Drosophila melanogaster: one gene and its partners. The protein of the gene in region 3 interacts with the protein of the main gene of each other region in a pairwise test. Each region holds a gene or a part of one and is shown on either strand. Other genes may lie near its edges.

Region 1 (5,173 bases), on a different chromosome or scaffold from region 3:
CTGGAATCCACCACTCTTGTTCTTCTTGGACTTGGACTTGAGAATGTCGGCGCCCCGGTCGCTGGTGCCGGCATCGTTGTCCAGTGATGGAAAGCCTGGTATTTCATCCGCCTGCTTCTTACGCTGCCAATGCAAAGTATGTATTGAAAGCTAAGCAACAAGAGACAATCCTCTTACCATATTTTTTTTGTTTTGAATAAAAACAACACGTGCAAAATCGATGACTATTCCACACTATCGATAACTCCATAAATTATCCAACACTGATTTCTTAAAAATTGACTAACGCTACAATATACCGCATTGTAATTGGCGCTTAGATTTTCATTTGATTAACTCGCGTTTTATTATTTTAATATTTACTATTTTGAGTAGACCATCTTTTAAATCGACCATATATACACTGCCGATTAAAATTAGAGGATAGCTTACATATGCCCAAAGGGAAAAAACCTCATAAGACCTCGACCAAACGGGAAAATAACAGATATAAAAGACTGGTGCGATTTAATAGCTATGTAAATGTATTAAATAAATGCTACATCTTGTGCAGATTATGGATTGAAAATGAATTTTTTAAACGATATATTTCTATCGACATCCGAATTGGTTTAAAGCTCTCATAGCATTCAAGTTATTAAGGTTTCGATAAGAAATGGTATGAAATCGTCATTAAACTGGGTGCTTTACAAATGCACTTATCGGCTGAATATCCTAAATATACCTTATCGAACTTACGCTAAACTTATCTTTGCATTAACTAAACGTCCTCTCCAAAATCCAAGTCCGCCTCCGACTCTTGAACCAGCACCATCTGCTCCAGGCGGTCAATGCGCCTCAGCATTTCCTCCTTTTCCCGCTGAAAGGAGTCGGCCCGCCGCCGCAGGTCTTCGTTTTGACGCCGCAACTCGTGAAGCTGGCGACAGATCTCAGAAGAAGTTAGCAGCGGCATCACGTTCGGAGATTTCGGCGACTGCTTCGTCGCATTGACGATTGTCTTGCCAGGTGCCGCCCCGTTGTTTACTGCGCCTTGGCCGGATCCTGCCGAGAGTGAAGGTCGCAGCTGTATCGTCTGGACGGTGCCCACTTGTCCCCTAAGCGAACTGCCCGACGCGGGATGGCCTGAAGGCAGTGGGGATGGGACCGCGGCTTCGTTCTGGCTGTGTGATTCTTCTAGCGCAGTGAGATCCTGCGGCCTTTGCAGGGAGGGGAGCTTTAACTAATTAAGCGGGGTTCAAGTAAAGTAAGGAGGTGAGCTCAGAAACTATTTAATATTCACCTGTCGAGCCTGCAACTGGCGCATGTTGACTAGCTTTGTGCCATCGGGAAGATGCCGCACCATTCCAGAGCTGTCGATAAGGCAAGATCTTATATATATCTCCCAAATATGTGAAATTAACGTACCTTGCCAATGAGGCGGGTATTTTCTGAAGGGACTTTGCCGTGCTGTCCGATCCGTAGAGTTTCTTAAAATCAGTCAACGAGATAATGCGTATATTCTGCCCTCAAATATTAATTATTATACGAATTAGCGAAACAAAACAATGAAATGCATACCTTGTTCTTGGCAACTCCCGCCGGTGACGGAAGATCCTTCTGCTTCAGGACATTCATCCGAATCTTGGGATGAGAATTATTAACATTTGTGCGGAGCGCTGCGACCGAAGGCCGGGCGTTTCCGTTCGTGGATTGCTTGCCGCTGATGCCCGATTTTGTTTCGTGCAGCAGCATGCGTCCTCCTTCAGAGAGGACAAGTTGGCGTCCATTCTGCAACGCAGTGTTCAGCATTTCTTTCGAGTCCTCGTCATCGTTGTCCTGCACCATGTCTGCGATTTCGTGCGTCTTTAGTATGTAAAGCGCAGTGTTCCGCAGGACGTTTGCATCTGGCAGGGAAAATAGGTTTTTCGTTAAATATTCGTTTAATATCTCCGAATCTAGTAACTTACGGCCTCGCATGTTTTCTAGGACATCCATTCGTTCTTCAACCGACATTTCTTTGTCGTCCACGGTTTTAATTACTTCCGGTTCGTCCATTATTGAGCTGACAGCTTCATTGGTTTCCTTCTGCAAATCGATGGGGAATAAATATGATATGATTTTTCTTTCTGCGAATCAATTGGGAATAAAGTATTTGTCACAATTTTTTAGGATCAGGAATGTAGGCCAAAGTTGGGAATGTTCTTGCTATTATTTGTGACAACCTAATACAAGTTGTCGAAAGTACATACTTTGGTCTTATGTGCTTGTTGCTGAAGTTTGATAAGCGCAGCGTGGGAAAAGGCAGCGATCAATTGTATTGTTAAGAATAAGGAACAGCCAAGCGAAACGTAAGTAAAACCTCATATTAAGTAGTAAATATGGCCTTCAGTGGATTTCTTCAAGCGCACTCACCTCCGATTCCTCGTGTAACTTCTTACTGGCCTGCGCCTGTCGTGCCGCTTCCAACTCCGCCAGCACATCCGCTTGTTCCGTGTACACGGCAAGTCCGATCGGCGTCTTGCCGAATTTGGAGACCAAGGTGACATCTGCCTGGCACTTGAGTAGCAGGCGCACAATTCCCTTGTGTTTTTTCTCGACCGCCCAGTGCAGCGGGGTCATGCGAAGCTGACAGGAATGTTGGTTAGTCATTTTAAACAGTCATTTATTTATATATTCTTACCATGTCGCGGGAGTTGACGCTGCACTTTAGCGCTAGCAGCAAGCTGACTATCCGCTCGTGACCGTAGTAGCAGGCTAGGTGGAGCGGCGTTCGGTCTACCTTGGTCTTGCCATCCATGTTAATGCCCCCCTGCAGGAGGATTTCGCAAATCTCCAGCTGATTGTTCATGGCGGCAAAGTGAAGTGCCGACATACCTAGCCAGTCGGAAGCGAAGGGAGCTCCATGCGCTAGCGCCGCCTTGACCCCAGCTACATCGCTGTCTCTGGCGCACTGGAGCAGCTGTTTGCCCAGGTCAACGCATGTGGCCGGACCCACCAGGATCCCCTTCTTTTGCTGGACATCCCCTTCGGTGCGCTATGAAGGAGTCGCCTCGGTTAGTGTGAATTACAAGCAAGGTACCGCGAGTCTTACGATCTCGTAGTGCATCAGGTTGGAGTTCTCCATGGGGTAGACGTGACCATCCGCTCGGAGAGTAGCAACGACTTTGCTGGCGCCGAGACTGTGCATTTTAGCAGAAGAACACTTTCAGGGACGAGTGAAGGCCTATAATTGGCATTACTTCAATAAGTTTATTAAGCAAAGGCTAAGAATGGCTTTAATTATGAATGTTTACGTTTTTAGATCTCTGCGGTGTGACCAGACATAGAAAAGGGCTTATACTCACCTATCAGATAAAATTGTTTTTGAAATAGCTTTCGTCATATAGCATCAATAGCATTAGTTTCTTCAATCGTCTAAAATCATGTTAAACTTAAATCATTTTCTGCGTTGCCGTTTTTTACATTTAAATTTAAATCACAGCTAAATCCTGTAAGACATTACTTGATCAAAGTAATAATACGAAGGATAAGGCAATCGAAGCTGAATTTATTGGTATATACCAAAAAGGAAGAATAGGTATCGATAATCTCTACATGACGAAAGTTTCTGATCGATATCAAGCACGGTCACACTTTATCTTATCGTTTTTACAGTTCGCGGTTTCGAGGTTTGCAACGCGCAATGAGCAAACTTAAACTAATTTTGTGACTCGGTAATCAAGTAAATGTGCAGCGGTCTAATTGAAATCAATGTTGCACGTGCAAATTACAGCTTGCGAGAGCAGCAATCATTTTTGTTCAGTTTTTTAAAGCTTACGAGGTATGAAAAGAAGAGGAAGTAACGGCAATGCCAGAAGCTTGTTGCTTTCTCCACTCCTCTTTCATCCTCGTCATGTGTGTGAGTGTGCAAGTGTATGTGTTTGCTAGGCTTAGAATTCCCAGTGAATATTGGGGAAATGTTAATTTAAAATGCAAAATATGTGATGGATAGCAAATGGATACGTACAAACAATAGTAAGTACATGTGTGTAGTCTTTCCGATTTTTTTCATTACTGGTGTTAAAAAGAAGAGACTAACAATATTCTTCATGCTCTTGAGCGGCCATTATATTCTAGGTGACCATTGTTGATCTAAAACAAAATAGAGAGCATAATTTTATGTTTCAATTTCTTTCTTCCGCCGCCATTGTATTCTGGGTTGATAAGGAAGATTTTAAGCAATTAAAATATATCTTCGTCTCTTTCTTCCACCGCCATTTTACTTTGCGGTGGTAAGGATGAAAGAATGAGATGCAAGCTTAAGATCTCTAAAGCAGCCATTTTTTTCTGCGGTGTGCTATTGGTCTTCCTCTTAAATTTAAAATTTATAAATTTCTTAAAAATATAGCAATATTGGCTACTATTTTTATCCATATTTCGCAAAGTTAAATGTAAACCGAAATTCGGATTTTTTGAAGTTTTTATAATCAACGAGATAGATTTGCAATCAAAATTTTTACCTTATCCTAATGAGAGGGATATATTTATTTTGCAGGGAAATTGCGTAAGAGTTCAAAGAGCTTAGTTCATAGGTGAGTACATCCACATAATTCTTATGAAAAATATAAAAATGGGCTGATTAAAATGATTGGTATTATGGAAATTATTATTGAAAAAATATGAAATTTACATTTTAAAAAGTGTTATTCGCGTTATTACTCAGTTTGTAAATAGCGGGCATCAATTGTGCATAGTTTGAAGGTAAGTTGCCCAATAAATGGCGCAAAGCTCGTAACCGCGAATTATATATGTATGTACATATACGATAAAAATAAAGTGTGGCCTTTGCTTGGATAAAAAAATCGTCCGAGTCGCCGGATATCCATATTATCGCTTTCAGAAAATTCGATATCATCGATAGGTGTTTCCCTTTCAAAAGTCTTCGTCCGATTTGGTCCGTTTGACTACTTTTATCTGGTGCATACCCGATTTGACTGCTTGGACGGAGTGGGATGTGTGAATGAACACTAAAACGCTTGAAACTTGAGAAATTAGGGAAGTAGACGGGTAGCGTCAGTTTGTTTGAGAAGATTAACAAGCCCACAAACTGCACAAAACTTGCAAGGCCATTTTATTATTTGTCTATCCATTTTCGATCGATATGGCAACAACATTTAAGCCATGCCCACTCTAATGCGTCAATAAATGCGACTAA
Region 2 (4,974 bases), on a different chromosome or scaffold from region 3:
ACAATCTTTCGACGTTGCGATCGATAGCGTAAATAAAACAGCAAACATGAGACATAAGCACATTCCATACATACGCCGTCCACAAATCCCGTACCTACAGAACGAAGCAGATAGCACAATAATAATATAAACGGGAAGCGTCTACCTAGTTTTCTACGAAACGATGACCACACGCACACACACACACATTTAAACTTTCAGCGACTCGACTCTTGCGCATATCTAAAAGCCCAAGGAAGCCAAGAATTCTAAATCGACGTGGCAGTACGCGCTGATCGAGAGTACAGAACAGACCGCCTAGAAGAGCAACACTGAAACCATCCAACCCTATTATTGTTGATCATTAATCATATTTAACCCGCATTATCACAATATATCTGTATGGGATAATGGGATAATTAAACTTATGTACCGTTTCAGTTTGAACTCTTCCAACACACAAAACATATTTAGTAGGCGCCACTTCACAGTATTACGAACAATACTTCTAACACGACTCATGGTCTGGTTCGTCGATCGGCGAATACCAAACACTGTGTGCCATTTAAGTCTTGATACACCAGCTGATATAAACCAAGCCAATCGCGATCCTTATTATGACCTTGATTTTTAATATAAATCAATAGGGTTGGAGCACAGGAAGGTCTAGTACATAATCTGAAAATGTGTTCGCAACGACGGAAGCATGTTGTTCTTATCCTTGATAACTATTACTGTAGCACTATCATCATTTCTTTCATTTGAGGAATAAAATATCCATGTTTACTTTTGTGGTTTCATTGTAGTAGGTAGAGTACAAGGTCAAAGTACTCAGTCCACGCAAAACCAACAACAAATGGTAACCCTCGAGTAGCGATGGGATTTTTTCAGCAAAACGACTACATTCCTTTACGAATGAACCAATCGGTGTTCTTGTGGATAGAATACGGAACTTAGCTTGATTCTTTTATCTATCAGCTATCAAAGTCCATTTGCTATGCTTAAAACGTATAAGCATTTACTTTAAGCTTGATTTAAATAAGTATTTTATGCACATAGTGAGTAATCACTGCATTTATTTGTGCATTTACAGATATTATTAAAAAAAAAAGGTCAGAAGTGCCTTTCATTTTCCAAATCTGATACTCTCAAGTAGTTTTCTTTTTCCTAAAAATAAAGTATGTGGCAAGGTATCCATATTTTGTGACAAAGTAACTCTCGTTGCCTTTTACAAGTTCTAAAAATTATACAGATCATCCTTGCTATTCTATTTCTTTATTATATCCGTTACTTGAAGAGTAAAAGGGTACTAGATTCGTTGAAAAGTATGTAACAGGCAGATTGAAGCCTTTCCGACTATATAAAATATATATATTCTTAATCAGGATTAATAGCTGAGGTGATCTGGCCATTTCCGTATGTTCGTATGAACGTCGACATCTTAGAAACTATAAAAGCTAGTAGGTTGAGATTCAACATACAGATTCCAGAGACATGGACGGAGCGCAAGTTTGTTGACCCATGTTGCCACGTCCACTCTAACGCCCACAAACCGCAAAAAATTGCCCACGCTTTTGAACCTTTTTTTCGAAATTTGTTCATAATTTTATTAGACTTGTAAATTTCTATCGGTTTGGCAAACAACTTTTGGCCACGCCCACTCTAACGCCATAAAGCCGCCAATACGGTCACTTTGGGAAAATTTTTTCTCATTTTATTCCCCAATATCTTTCGATATCCCAGAAAAATGATGAAATTTCGCGTTCGCATTCACACTAGCTGAGTAACGGGTATCTGATAGTCGGGGATTTGACTACAGAATTCTCTCCTCCAACGATTTAGAAAAAGTGGGTCACTTTGTATTTTGGACTTTTGAAACATCGGTTTTTGGCGACACAAATGTAGCATTCAGCCTTTAGTGCGCTAGTGCGCACTACCAAACACACTATAATAACTATCACTGTATGCGTAGAAAAGAGCTGTTTGCTGTAGCGCTCTCCGCTCTCTCGCTCTCGAACAAAAAATCGAGAGAGCCTGGAGCCACCTCTAGAGCCATGGCGAAAAAATAGTGTGCCAAAAAATCGTATAGCGTTACGCATCTTGTCTTTGGCACTACCTTGACCGTTGGTATCGAATCATTGTGTCGCGTTTTCGTCATTAGAATGTGTTTCCTATCTCAGCTTTTTAGGTCGTTCATACGGACAGAAAAACGGACATAATAGTCATGGTTAAAATCCTATGTACTACATAAGGTCAGAAGAGTTTCCTTCCACCACAGTACTTAAAAAAAAAAGTTAGTAACGTTAGTAATGTGTGTATAAACATTTAAAGAAACGAAGTTATCATTACGCGATTAACTTAAATCCACTTTTCATAGTAGAGCTCGCAATACGCCATTATTGATTGTAAACGTCCTTTCCGCTCTCGTCCGAGAAATGATTTATGGAAGAATGTTTATATAAACGGCGGTTGGATTCTTCACACGATAAGTTCTGCGGAACACTTATGCAGACACACACACACAAACACAGTCGCAAAAGCTCGTCCACATAAGACGCAAACTCAAACGAACACAAAGACAAACAAGAGCACGACTTTTTTGCTGGCCTCTACAATTCGTTTTTGTTTTCGTCGTTGATGCACATTCCCGTTATTACAACTACCACTTGATTAGTAATATTCAACTGTACTCACTTTAGATTACTTTCCTCCGTTATTTCTGGAGTTTTGTGCGATGCTCAGCAATTTGGCCTTGTCTGCGGAGGTGTCGAAATACGAGCCGATCCGAACACTTCCAAAGTTGACGCCGAAGTGAGGGAACTATGCCCGTGTCTCACAATGCGCAATTGCCGGCGAATACGATAGACACGAATAGCAGAGCAAAATGCTCACTCTGCCAAGGCTACGTGTCTGCAATTCGCCGCGATGATTTTCGTCGTAAGTGAAAGTTGGGAAAAACTAGGGTTTTTCGTTTCGGGGAGAAAATTTTTCTTATTTTTTTGTAGATGTTACTCGAAGGAGCTGGCCATAAGGCATAGAAATGAAAGAAATTAAGCCACGTACTTTGATGTTGTTGTCATACATGCAACTATTTTATTAAGTTAGTTATCGATAGCTATCGATGGTTATGGACAAACAAAACTTTTTGGCTTAGATGCAACATGGTCATACTGAAGGAAACTGGTACGTTGCACTATGGGTAAAAAGCCGGAAATTTTGGTATTAATTACAATTTTAAAGATAGCATCTTGATTTTTTTTATATTTATAATTAGGATTTAAATAGAATTTCGGTTTAGAGTGAAAGTGAAAAATTTATTTATATACAAATGAAAGCTGTTTTAAAGGGAGATGGATGGGTGGCGAAGGATATGTGGGTGTTAATATGTCTGTGGTTCAACCGGTGGATCCGGAGGTGTCTTACCTGGGAGATTGGCGTGGCATATAAGGTTCGTATTTAACTGCTATTATTTGGTTTTTGGCAGTGTAGGAATATGGTCTAAGGTTTTTTATAGCCGCATCCAAATTTTGTTTTCCTTCAATATAAGGGCAGCACTATCCTTTGTTCAACTTTTTCTGCCAATTTCACAATTCAAAGCACCTCTGATTTAGCTGAAAGTGTCGCGAGTGTCGAACTCAATTTATGTTAACAAAACAGCACTTTATTAAAGTTGTACACTTGTAATCGCCTGGCGAATTAAGTACACAGTTATCGCGCTAAAAATACAGTGTTGCGGGAATCTCGGGGATCCATCGCTTAGGCCTATGATTGCTGGGTGCAAGGACACCTGCTCCGGATTCGGGCATATTTGTTAAGAACTGATATCTGATGTAAAGCAGATATCGAATTATCAGTTAGCCGAATTTGAAGCAGGTATCTTAACAACCTAACATAAAAATTGCATAATATTAATTAATAAAAAAAAAAAAACACTCCGGAGCTTAAGCTAATCTATAGTCTACTGCTCTCCGCGCCATTTTGTCGTGGCGGAGAAATCTGGGACTTGTCGTATCCATTGCTGGACATCTGCAGATGCTGCGGAAGTTGGGCAGGACGTCCGTTGGAGGGCAAGGTCTCGTCCACGGAGAACACGGAGTTGTCGTGTCCGTGCATGTGGCGAGCATTGAGCACGGCATCCGGATGGCTCTTCGGCGACTCCGGCTGTCCCACCTCATCAGGCTTGCCTTCCAGCAGGAAACAGGTGATGAAGAAGAGAATAGAACCTGTGACCAGAGGTGTTAGTAATATTGGTATCCAAAAGTGGCCAGATCAAGCCGACTTACTGATGCCGTAGAATCCAGCGTAGAAGATCATGATCGAACCGCGATAGCCCAGGATCTTGGCCACCGGATCCACCAGGATGGGCAGGTTGCCGCCAATGTTGTTCATCACAAACAGAAAGACGCCAATGGTCGAGGAGCGAACGCGCAGCGGAACAATCTCCACAACAATGGCAAAGACAATACCGAACCACATCTCGGCGAAGAAATAACTCAGGCCCAGCGTGATCATGGCCCACAGCGGGTCAAAGTAGACCGATCCGAAGGCTGGTAGTGTGGCAATTAGCTGGCTAACAGCCAATACAAAGGCGCGTGATCGAATGCCCATCTTGGCGACAATCTTGTCCGACACAATGCCACCGACGACCACACCCACGCTGCCAATGCCAATGGTGACCCCAAAGAGCCACCAGCCCAAGTCCACGTCGGGGAAGTACGTGTTGTAGTAGAGATCGGCGTTGTAGGCAAAGGTCATGCCACCGCAGTGACGGATGGACGCGGCAATCATCAACATGATCATTGCCGGATTCTTGATAACTTGCCACAGGCTCACTGGTTTGCCGCTAGACGTCTGGCGGTCACCCTCACCGATGGCCTTGCGCTCCGGCTCCCGCAAAGTGGTTCCGGTCAGTGCGGCCATAATTACGGTAAGGACACCGGCGCCCAAGTAGCAAACGCGCCATCCCAGATTCCAGAAATTCAGCTTGGTGATGTA
Region 3 (4,618 bases):
CGGCGCAGCAGAAGCTACACCTGTTTGGCTCGCTGATCAGCCTGCACGAGTTCGAGGAGCCGCGGGCTTCGGATCCTTTCGGCAGCAGTTTCAACACGCTGAAGAGCGGCAATCTCATCTCTGATCTCAACGCCAGCTCGCTGTGGCTGGAGGACGAGTTCTACAAGCTGGGCTTTCGACCGCAGGACGAGATCACCACGGAGCTGTAACCGCATCACAAAACTCATACTCAAAACTTAATGCAAACTAAGTATTACCCCGGCTGGCGGCGCTAGCCGTTCGAGTCTAGCGCCAGTTCAGCTGGGGGAATGGAGCATTTGCGTGCACATTCCGACAGGCCATCATCGACTTCGACAAGCTAACTGGGAGGCCGTTTAGCCGGAGCCGCTAAATGCCCACGCTTAGAGCTTAGTTAGATCAGTTAAGCAAGCAAACTAGTCACGTAAAATCACAAACAAAACCATCAACACACAACGATGCCGAGGAGAAGGAGCTAATGCAAATGCAAATGGAAATCGCGTGGAAATGAATTTAGTTTTATGGATTTTACAAAAATCGCAACAATCATGTAACGAACAATATTCAATATACACACTATAGAAATACTATTCAGATAATAACTAAGATGATTAGCAGTATAAACGCGATACTTATAGCTATAGCTTATGTAGACAGAGATTATAAACCTTAGCGAATACGAAATGGATAATAAAATCGTGTGCCTTAGGATTGTAAAATATGTAACAATTTGTATTATTAACCAGGCGCCGTCATCCGACCAAGTCAGCCAACGCTAAGGCTCCTCGTACTTCCAGAGTATGTCGGGTTCCTCCTTGAGCTTCAGCTCGCCATGTCACGTGTCTTCTGTAATTGTTTCCGTTGCGGCTACGCGCTCGGGCGCCGTTTTCCCCTCGCTGACCAGCGTGGATAGCTCATTCGCATCATAGCCGATCAATAGCTTCAAATCGCAGTCAAATTTGTATGCGAATCGCTTGCCGGACACCTTGGAGATCATATCCCCATCGTAATAGTAGCGGAGAGCCCTTGATAGCTTTTCGTAGTTCATAGCGGGTTTGTTTTTCTTCTCGCCCCAAAGGCGTGCCACTCGATCCGGGTCAGTGAGCTTAAATTCTCCCTCGGTGCCCACCCACTCAATAACGTCCGTGTGCTCGCAGTCGGTGAGTATTTCGAGTAGGAACTGCCATAGCTGCACTTGTCCATTATTCCCGGAACCGATGGTAGTGTAGTTTGATGGATTCATGGATGACGTAGTACTTTCAACGGCTGTGAACGAAGTAGATATTGTTAGCTCATGCTTTGGTGTAACATTCACACGTCTACTTACAATCAGAGCTCTTGACTGACTGATAGGATTTCCGCATAATCCGCTGTTCAAGCGAAAGGCTGCCCCCTGAATTGGTCGATATGGAATTGGCCGACATGATTCTTGGTTGCTTGGGCTTACGCTGCTCCTCCGCTCGTTTGTGCACTACGGACACGAAATTACATTCTTTTAGCAGCTGGAGGTGGGTCCAGAAGATGTTGCCTGGATCACGGGGCAGCTTCTGATTGAATTCCTCGTGCGTCATTGCGCAGAGTTCCTGGCCATTCATTTGCCAGTCGCTCATGTTGATGCCAACTAGTTCGAACTGCTTGACGGCCCACTCCAGCCAGTACGTCACGTGTGCGTGTGTCCATTCGTTGGCCGCCTCGGGTATCTTCAGGCGTATTTGTTCTCGCTTAAACTTGCTGTCCAGGACCCAATTCAAGACTGGCTTGACATCCTTGCCCTCGACGGATTCCTCTTCGGAGTCTTCCTTGTGCATGCGCTTGAGTGGGGTTTTGATGGGGCTTTCGCTGGAGGAACTCTTCTGGCTGGCCGTTTCCGGCGGCGAGAGCTGGCCCACCACCTCCTCGGCCAAGGCAGCCAGTGCGGCCTCCGTGGGCTTCAGGACGTCGGCGATGTTAATGCGCTTGCGAATAGTTTGTATCTGCACGTTGATCTGGACCAGGCCTTCTCCCTTGACGCATTGGTCCACGAGATTCTTGTGCGATTCCAGCTGCAGGAGAGTGGGGGCTTAGGTAAACATTTTATTACGCCGCAGATAGACTCACCTCCTGCGCGTCCTGCAGCCAAAACGTGTAGTAATTCAGGCACACTCCTATCTTTTGCTCAACAAGTGATCTGTGGGTAGAAATGAGGGTTATTTGCATGACTAATGGGGGCCAGTCTTCGCCAGACTCACTTGAGCATGCTGAGCGGCTCCCGGATGTCCATGTGCACGATGATGATGTCGTCCGGCTCCGCCTCCGTCTCCACATCGATGCTATCCTCGAACATTTCGCTGGCAATCACTTCTTCTGCAAATTGTTTACAATTAATAATTCGGTGTAACAACAGGTGCGTCCCAATTGGGAAATGGCATCATTCCACTTACCCAGGGCACCGCCAACGCTGAGGCGGCGTATTAGCTCGTCCGACAAGTCATTGCTGCTGTTCATCGCGGCTTAAAATCGCAAATAACTGCCTATATTAACAAAATGTTTTTAACAAATTTGTCTCGTGGATTTATTGTTGCATCTTCAGTGTGACCGTGTACGTCGGGTGTGGCAATACCGAATAATACTAAGTGGCGTTGGTACAGGGCTGCATAGTCACTGGCCAGTATTGCCACCAATTCTATCAGATTTCAAAACTCTGGCGGTTCTTTTAAAAGTGATAAAAGTTTCGAAAAAATGTAAATATGAATGTAAGTTAGCAAGTCTGAAATACAATATTTGCTTTAATGATGAAAAAACTTAATAGCATCATATATATTTAAAGAAAAACATCAATTGTTATTTAGTTTTAAAAGAATACATGATTTTGTTATAGTTTTTACTGGCAAATATTTTGCCAGTTTTGAACTATTTTCAAGTTCCCTTTTCCTGTGTGGAAATTCATTGATCAAAAATTTCTTTCATCACCAGCTATTAATATTTTGAGCCTAACGATCTATAAAAATTAGCAATCTGGTGACAAAATGTGTGCTCGCCCCCTCAAGTGATTTCCTAGAAATGCCATCGAAATTAATTGAGGAATTCAATTCGCAACAACAAGTCGATGCTTAAGACACCCACTTGTGGTTGAGTGGTTTGCTCTTCATGCGATATCTTTTCGCCACTTTCTTTCGCTGCAAGACTCAATTGGCCGACACAATTGGCCATGTTTGTGCGTCGGCCTGACTAGGAAGCACTTGGGTGTTCCCACAGGCAAGTGAAGTGGCCAAGTGCTGCTCATTTTCAGCTAATGCTGATTAAATGCCCCGTAACACGATCAGTGGGTCAAAACGGCGGGACAATGAATGCCAATTGTGCTATGGAGCAGAGGACAGCCTCAAGTGCACAGAGTACTTGTTAACACAAGCGTTTTTCCATGTACCATGTACCGAGATATGGACAAAGACGGCTCCCGGCCTGAATAGTCCGGAGTTGGGAGCATTACCTCATGCTGTTGACTCAGTTGGCATAGTAGATGAACGATATTTGCTTGCGAATATCTTGCTGATGACAATGTTTGATTTTGATTTCGGTATTAGCTATAAGTGATTCAATGTCTGCCACGAATGTTCTGGCACATCATCATCCCCATATTGTGCAACCTTGCAACTTCATTTTCCCCTTTCCGTTTCGTGTCCGAAAACGAGGGAAACTAACAAGCCAGAGTGCGGATTTTGTTTTATTTGGGGACTAACTCTGCTTTGTTTACTTGCCAAGCTGTTGACTAATATTAGCCAGCTGGTCAAATTCAGGCGCTTCAGGTCAGTTTTTTTTTTGGTTTCATTTTGCGTACTTTCCAGCCATTTGAAGTTGAGTCATTGTCAAAGTCGTCTCATTTGGATATTATTAGATGTGAGTGGTAGTGAAATTTCTATCTTTCTTTCTCACCACACAAACCCTTATTACTCATTATATGCTAATGAGGACTTATCTCATTGCACGTTAAGTATACGCCGCATTGACCTTCTGGCAGATAGAAATCTATGCAGACCGAAAATTGTCTAGGTCATGACACCCAGCTGCAATGGGGCAACAAACAGATGAACGAAACCAGCCCAATGACAACGTGGAAAACTCACTCAAAACCGTTAGCGTACATAAAACTATGCGCAGTCATTGTGGCGCCTTTGACTGCCAGAAATTCCCATATATTCGGCTGCCAAGAACCGTCGAAATAAAAACACAAAAAAAAAAAAACAAGAAAAATAAAGGAAAACAACCCCTTGGGGTTTTCGCCTCTGGATTATTTGTCCGCCGAGCGTTCAACTCCACGGAATTGCGTCACTGGATGGCTAGAATTAAATCAATAGGGACAACTCCCACGCTGAGCACCAAAGTGGAGCACCAGAGCCCGGGACTTGGAGAATTTGCATTTCCGTGGCCCATACTGAATGGCCAGTATTTGGGTCGTCTAAGGATTGCTATCGCTATCGCTATTGCTATTGCTGCAAGGACATTTCAAAGGCGGTCGGCGTTTTCGTTTCAGCTTTCTTGCTCTTCGTTTCATAATTTCTGGTTTTTAATTAATTGGTTTTTTTTTCGAGTGAGTTATGGTGCCTTTTTTTTTGGTCTGCACCTA
Region 4 (5,753 bases), 2.4 Mb from region 3:
AATGATCTCAATAGCCTTGAGTTTATTTATTTATTTACTTTAAAAACTTATTATTCCGCTTTGATAACATGATAGTTGTTGTAACACAAAGTCATTCCTTTTCGTTTAAAAGGAAAGTGCTCTAAACTGCTGCGAAATGTGTGGAAACAATATAACTCTTGTTACAATTACTAGATTTATTTGTCCCGCTAAAAATAAAAAACCTATGATATTACATGCCTTTAACAAGGCACGTTTTTACTATGACTATGGCCATTCATTGGCCTAGACAAAGGCCATTTAAAAACCCATTTCATACAATTAATAACAATAAAATTACACTAAAATTGCAACAACACCGCACACCCCCAACAAGGCGGAAGACAAAGGACACAAAGGCCATTGTCGCAGGATCTGATCCACTTGCCACCGCCGCCGCTATTCAAAGTAACTCGTAACTTTGGTCGCTTCATTCACGAAACGCACTGTACTATATAGTCGGCCACTGGGACACACAATGGGCGTGGCCCTGCGCACTCGACTTCGAAATCCAGAGACACCGAGTTGCAGGAACACATTGCACGTGCGTGAGTGCAACAATTGTCCTGCAAACTGCAATTGTGTCATGTCCTGATCGCTATTCTATCCTGTTTGTCCTGCACTGTCCAGCTAGAGAAGTGTAATTTTCCATTTAAGATCAACGATGTGAAAATTTCCAAGACGTGATTTTTACGTCGTTTTTTCCTTAAAGCGTAGCCATTGAGCTATTGTTTGCGTAGTTCATTAGTTGCCAGGACTCGAGTTCATTTCGATGGACACGTATATGTCGGGAAAATGCCGCCAAAAACGGTAGGTCGGATTTTCCTGCCAAACTTTGCCGCCTCAGCTGCGGTTGAGTGTTTTTTTTTTCGTGTGCTTCTTGCGAGTTTGGTGCTTCGAACATTAAACTAATTTATCACCAATATATGCCAGGATCCTGGGCGCACGGGCTGGGATGGGCTGGGAAAGGACACCCCTTTCGGTGGGAATCGCTCGTGTGTTGGACTTTTGTGTCTACTTACCATAATGAAAACATTTTCAAACATTTTATGCAAAGTCCTGACATGACCTTTGCCGAACCTCAACGCGCCGCGTCTCCCGTTGCGCTCGATGTCCTGTCCCGAGTGTCCTGAATGGGAACTGCAACACACACATGCATGTATATCTCATCCCATCCCTTACCGGTTCGTAATTTGCGATCTGAACTAGTTTTCGGCGTGGCCCTGTCATTATGTAGATTTTTCAGCCCGCGAGTACACGATCGCCCCACAAAAATTGGAAGGGGAATTCGAATACTTAGTGGAAGACACCGATGTTGTTGCTGTTAGTCGGGATGTTCCATGTTCACCGGGTTTGTTTACGGGGGTCATCAGGACTGGGATTTGTTCTCACAGGAAATATATGTGTGCTAGACCATAAACCTTGAAAGCACAAAGAGAACCAGATAACGATCCAGTCCAAATGTATCCACCGGCAAATGGGAAAAGGCAACACAAAGCCGCAATTTGGCTGGTGAAAATCATCGAGGTCGATCCATTTGCAGGACCATATACCCATTTATATGTGCAGCTCTACTACATATCCGCCTCCGCCGCGATGAGTGACTGCCGGGTTTGACTGTCTAAGCCGCAGGTACGAAGTGATTAAACGCCGAGCTATTGCCACCGCAATTAGGATCGCATCGGGATCGGGATCGGGATGCCCGAGATCCCAATAAAAGCCAAATTGAATCGGGGTCGGCAACGGAATTGAGAGCGGGGGCAACTAGTGCAGGACCTGCAAGGATGCAGCTGATAATGGCAAAGAATTGCGTCGTCACAGGTTCACAGAGATGGCCGGCCAAAAAGGAAGACAAGTAGTGCTGGGGGGGGGAGAAGGTAGAACAATTTTTTTAACATCAAACGAATAAAGGTCGCTCTCGCACACTCGTATTTACTGTGGAAAAGGGAGCTCCTGATTTGTTGCAAGATTTCTTCGTAAATGGCATAAAAAACTGCTCGAGAAACAAGGCGACAAGCCGTGGGATCGCCGTGGCCGTGGCTGTGGATCGTTGTTAAGATTGTTAATGGCACCCGACCTGTTCACGTCCACGCTCACACAATGTTGGACAATTAACACGGCCCAGCAAGAAGAAAGCCAGGTTTTTGGAGGCACATCCTTGGGAATGTCGGGCAGAACAGAGGCCGCGCTACAGAAATCAAGGCCCCCTATTTCATCGCATTTATCGCATTCCCGCGCCCCCTCTAGGAATTGTTCATATTTTGTGTATCATTCGGTCAGGGGCAGTACCGTCATCAGCTGATCCAGGGGATTAATTATGTTGACAGGTTGCTGCGATTCAAGTGCCTTTGAATTGGAATTGGAACTTTTTGTGTAATATGTTCACGTTTCATTCAAGCAGCTCCATTCATATCTTCCAGGAATCTAAGTCACATCCTTCGGCTTCCCTCAATTTAGAAAGTGTCCGACTTATGTAATGTATGCCATTTCCTTATAATGAAAGTGTTCTTTGAAGTTTCTTGGGAAATATTGCTTAACTATTGTTATATTGAATGATATATGATATGATAGATATGATTTGCATTTGGTAATTCCTACTCTTTCTGTGCGTACATCTGATCCGCAAACATCGAAATGCTGGGTCGGTCTTTCATCTCGCTGAGCTGTAGGTCGACGTAGTTCTTGGTCCGCCGATAAGCTGCCACATTAGTGTAGCAGTGATGGACATAGTTCTGACCCAAACTGGCTAGAACGGCGTAGCGGAGATCTGACTTGGAAACTTTTCGAAGAACAGGTTTGGGCTTAGGCACTAGGGGAGTGATCGGCAGAAGGCTCGGCAAGGATGGGAGCACTGGACTAGAGGCAGGAGGTGGTGGAGGTATTTTAAAAATAACTTTTGGAACGGCTTTATCACTAGGAGTTTGTGGCAGGGATGGGAGCACTGGACTAGAGGCAGGAATTGGTGGAGCTATCTTAAGAGTAACTTTTGGAACGGCTTTATCACTAGGAGTTTGTGGCCACTTTGGAGCTGGTGGCTCGACAGACTTGTGGGGCACGGCAGCCAGTTTCTTCCGTATGCTCAGTAGGAGCTTTGCCGAACTGGAAAGACCCTTTTCCAGGGCCCTCACCTCGTCTGAACTGGGTTCGAATTTCAACAAGTTAAAGCTCCAGCGGGAGATTCCAATGTCATTGGTTAATGCATAGGCATAGTTTCGATCAGATTTTACGGCGGTAAATGGACTATAGGACGTGGGTTCTACCAGTTTTTGAAGAAGCAATGATCTGTTAATTGGTGGCTTCGAATTCTTCTCTAAAGATTTGTGACCACTTTGTTTGGCGTCGTTTTTCTCTGCCTGCCTTACAGGAGCTTTGTGTGGCTGCGTTATCGTTGCCTTTGGTTTTTTTATGGTCCCAGAGTTTTGCTGACTTCCCTTATTTGTACTTTTTTCTTTCGCCTTGCGACAGTTCAATCGGTATCCCTTGATCAGATGTGGATTCGATTCGATGGCATGCTCCATGTATGAAGTGCGACTAAACCGCACCATGGCGTAGTTAAAGTTACTCATGCCATTCCTCACGCTGACCCTCTCCAAATCCCCAAATTTGCTGAAATAGGTGAACACATCCCGATGGGTAATGTCCTGGTCTAGGTCGGGAATGAACATCAGGCGATCGTGTTCCGGCTCGGGAGGCCGTCGTTCGGGTGGCTGGACTACCACTGTGCCAGGTTGGTACGTTTTCACCTTCTCTTGTAGGGAATGGAAATTTGCTAGGATTGTGGATAATTCAAAGTCCGTGAGAAGCTTAAAGTCCCCGATAGCCGTTCTCACCTGCCTTTTCCCCATAGACACTAGCTGGTTCCCTGGGCATGGCTTCCCCCAGCTGGGATTCACTAATCCTTGCTCTTTTTGGCGAAGGACACGAATCAAGTCCAGGCAAGTCCAATGGCGTGTTGGTCACTCCCAGGGGTTCTAGGGAAATCAAGGAGCTCCATGAACTATCCATGCTTTTTAAAGCCAAGTTGAAATATACTTGGTTGATAGACAAACCCAAAGCCAACTCTGATCAATGACTATTTATTATAAGAGTGGTGAAGTGGGGAGTTTTCCCTTAAAAATTGCCATTCATAGAAATAAATTCCCTAATTTTTACGCAGAATCTAAAGTCTTTCCCCTGAGGTTTCCCCAAATCCTTAAAAGTCAAACCTACTCAAACCTTTCCCATTGCATAAATGAAAATTGCACTTTCAGTTCATCGAGGCCTGGGAAAATTTTTATCCGTTTCGCACAAGGAAATGATTTGCCAAACTGAGCACAAATATTTTCATCGGAAATTTCATAAATATTTTATGAAACTGTAGGATCAAAGTCAAAGCCCCATTTAAGGTCCCCAGAGTGGCTGCCGTGCCATGAATGAATATTCGTAACGGTCGGCATTCCGGCTGCGATTCATGAAACTGTTGCCACCAAATCGTGGCCAAATGAAAGGAACCAGTAGGCCAAAGGCAAAAACCCAGCTGGAATGCGTTGGCAGTTTGAATGTCGCCTCAGGTGACAAATTGCAAGGCTTGCACAGGTTGTTCAGGTTGCACATAGCCGGTGTAAAAAGGACGACGACTCAATGACGCGGCAGGTTTCGTCGAAAAAATGTGCCATTTCGCACCTCCATAAAAACGTGTCCCGAATGGGTTTCCCTGTCATTTGCCATCAATGGACTGGGCGGCCTTCGGTTTCGGTTGCATAATGTTTGACTGCTGGGCGGAAAGTTGCACATGGCTTCTAATGTGCGATTTGCATTCGCAATCGGTCAAGGGTGCACCGGATGCGATGAATGTTTACCCAACTCGCAGAAATCAGGGCGCGCATCCCTTTCACGAATCCATCTGCCAGTGCAGATCCTGCACATCCTTTGCCACCCAGGTTACGTAAGCCATAAACAAGTGGACCATGGCGGACTAATAGACTTGTTGCCAAGGCCGCAGAGATCGCCTCCTTCTCACGCCTCGACTGCATCCGGGATTCCAGCTAAAAACGCGGCAATATCCCTCAGATACTCGGATACTTTGTGCGGACGTGAACTTCAGCCGTTTAGCCATTCAGGCATTCATTGATTCATTCATGAACATTCGCCCGCAAACAATAAGGACACAACTAGCAAATCTCTCTCGAGCACTTCAACGAACAATGAGGAGCCCAAGCAAATTTCGGTACGAGGACATTCAGTGTTCTCACGTTCATTTCGGCGATTTCCTTCGTCTTTGGGTGTTTTTTCGGCTCTTTTTTAATGTTGGCTTAAACCTCAAGTGACCGAGGGTTTGATGATGATTATGATGAGCTCACAGAGAATTTGCGAAAAAAAAAAAAACTAAACGAGAGAGGAGAAAGGAAAGCGGATACTCAGCCACTCAACCGGGTGTCCCGGCATCCTCATCATCCGCCGATCATCCCGGATATAGTTCGATATTTTTTGCGAGTTTCATCATAACGAAATTCCCTGAAATGCCCCAAGAACACATAATAATCAGAAGATAATGCCGTTGATTATCTCGGGAATGTCTATTCATCGCCTGGCGCTGTGTCCTTCGAGTCCTGCCGCCTCGAATTTCCCTCGCCGTGTGCGGCCTGCCAAAAAGTGAGAATTTATGAGGTTTTCACCAGCGCAGCTCTGGTGGTGAGGGAGTTTCCCTAGAAGTTGCGATTGGAGCCGTGCGGCAACTGTGGGAAAACTGCATTTTC

The links.
Region 1: the proteins of Ets97D (region 3) and Atac3 interact in a two-hybrid assay, tested with the Drosophila melanogaster proteins (one large-scale study listed by BioGRID).
Region 2: the proteins of Ets97D (region 3) and sov interact in a two-hybrid assay, tested with the Drosophila melanogaster proteins (one large-scale study listed by BioGRID).
Region 4: the proteins of Ets97D (region 3) and CG14506 interact in a two-hybrid assay, tested with the Drosophila melanogaster proteins (one large-scale study listed by BioGRID).

Annotation. Positions count from the first base shown.
Region 1 is NT_037436.4:324,476-329,648, forward strand, and holds Atac3 (Ada2a-containing complex component 3), read right to left. Parts: upstream 3,518-5,173; 5' UTR 3,324-3,517; exon of another isoform or gene 3,203-3,323; 5' UTR 3,167-3,202; coding exon 3,071-3,166; intron 3,014-3,070; coding exon 2,660-3,013; intron 2,605-2,659; coding exon 2,392-2,604; intron 2,250-2,391; coding exon 2,229-2,249; intron 2,065-2,228; coding exon 1,947-2,064; intron 1,884-1,946; coding exon 1,558-1,883; intron 1,500-1,557; coding exon 1,405-1,499; intron 1,350-1,404; coding exon 1,280-1,349; intron 1,220-1,279; coding exon 761-1,219; 3' UTR 510-760; downstream 1-509. Other genes in the region: CG32344 (uncharacterized protein), read right to left, coding at 1-123, 178-180.
Region 2 is NC_004354.4:6,754,400-6,759,373, reverse strand, and holds the start of sov (small ovary), read right to left. Parts: upstream 3,053-4,974; 5' UTR 2,674-3,052; intron 765-2,673; exon of another isoform or gene 1-764. Other genes in the region: CG14439 (uncharacterized protein), read right to left, coding at 3,931-4,202, 4,263-4,974.
Region 3 is NT_033777.3:26,910,259-26,914,876, forward strand, and holds Ets97D (Ets at 97D), read right to left. Parts: upstream 2,629-4,618; 5' UTR 2,503-2,628; coding exon 2,439-2,502; intron 2,362-2,438; coding exon 2,247-2,361; intron 2,186-2,246; coding exon 2,116-2,185; intron 2,061-2,115; coding exon 1,346-2,060; intron 1,285-1,345; coding exon 854-1,284; coding exon of another isoform or gene 794-853; 3' UTR 517-793; downstream 1-516. Other genes in the region: T48 (transcript 48), read left to right, coding at 1-209.
Region 4 is NT_033777.3:29,293,207-29,298,959, forward strand, and holds CG14506 (uncharacterized protein), read right to left. Parts: upstream 3,975-5,753; 5' UTR 3,889-3,974; coding exon 3,849-3,888; intron 3,788-3,848; coding exon 2,613-3,787; 3' UTR 1,955-2,612; intron 1,880-1,954; 3' UTR 537-1,879; downstream 1-536.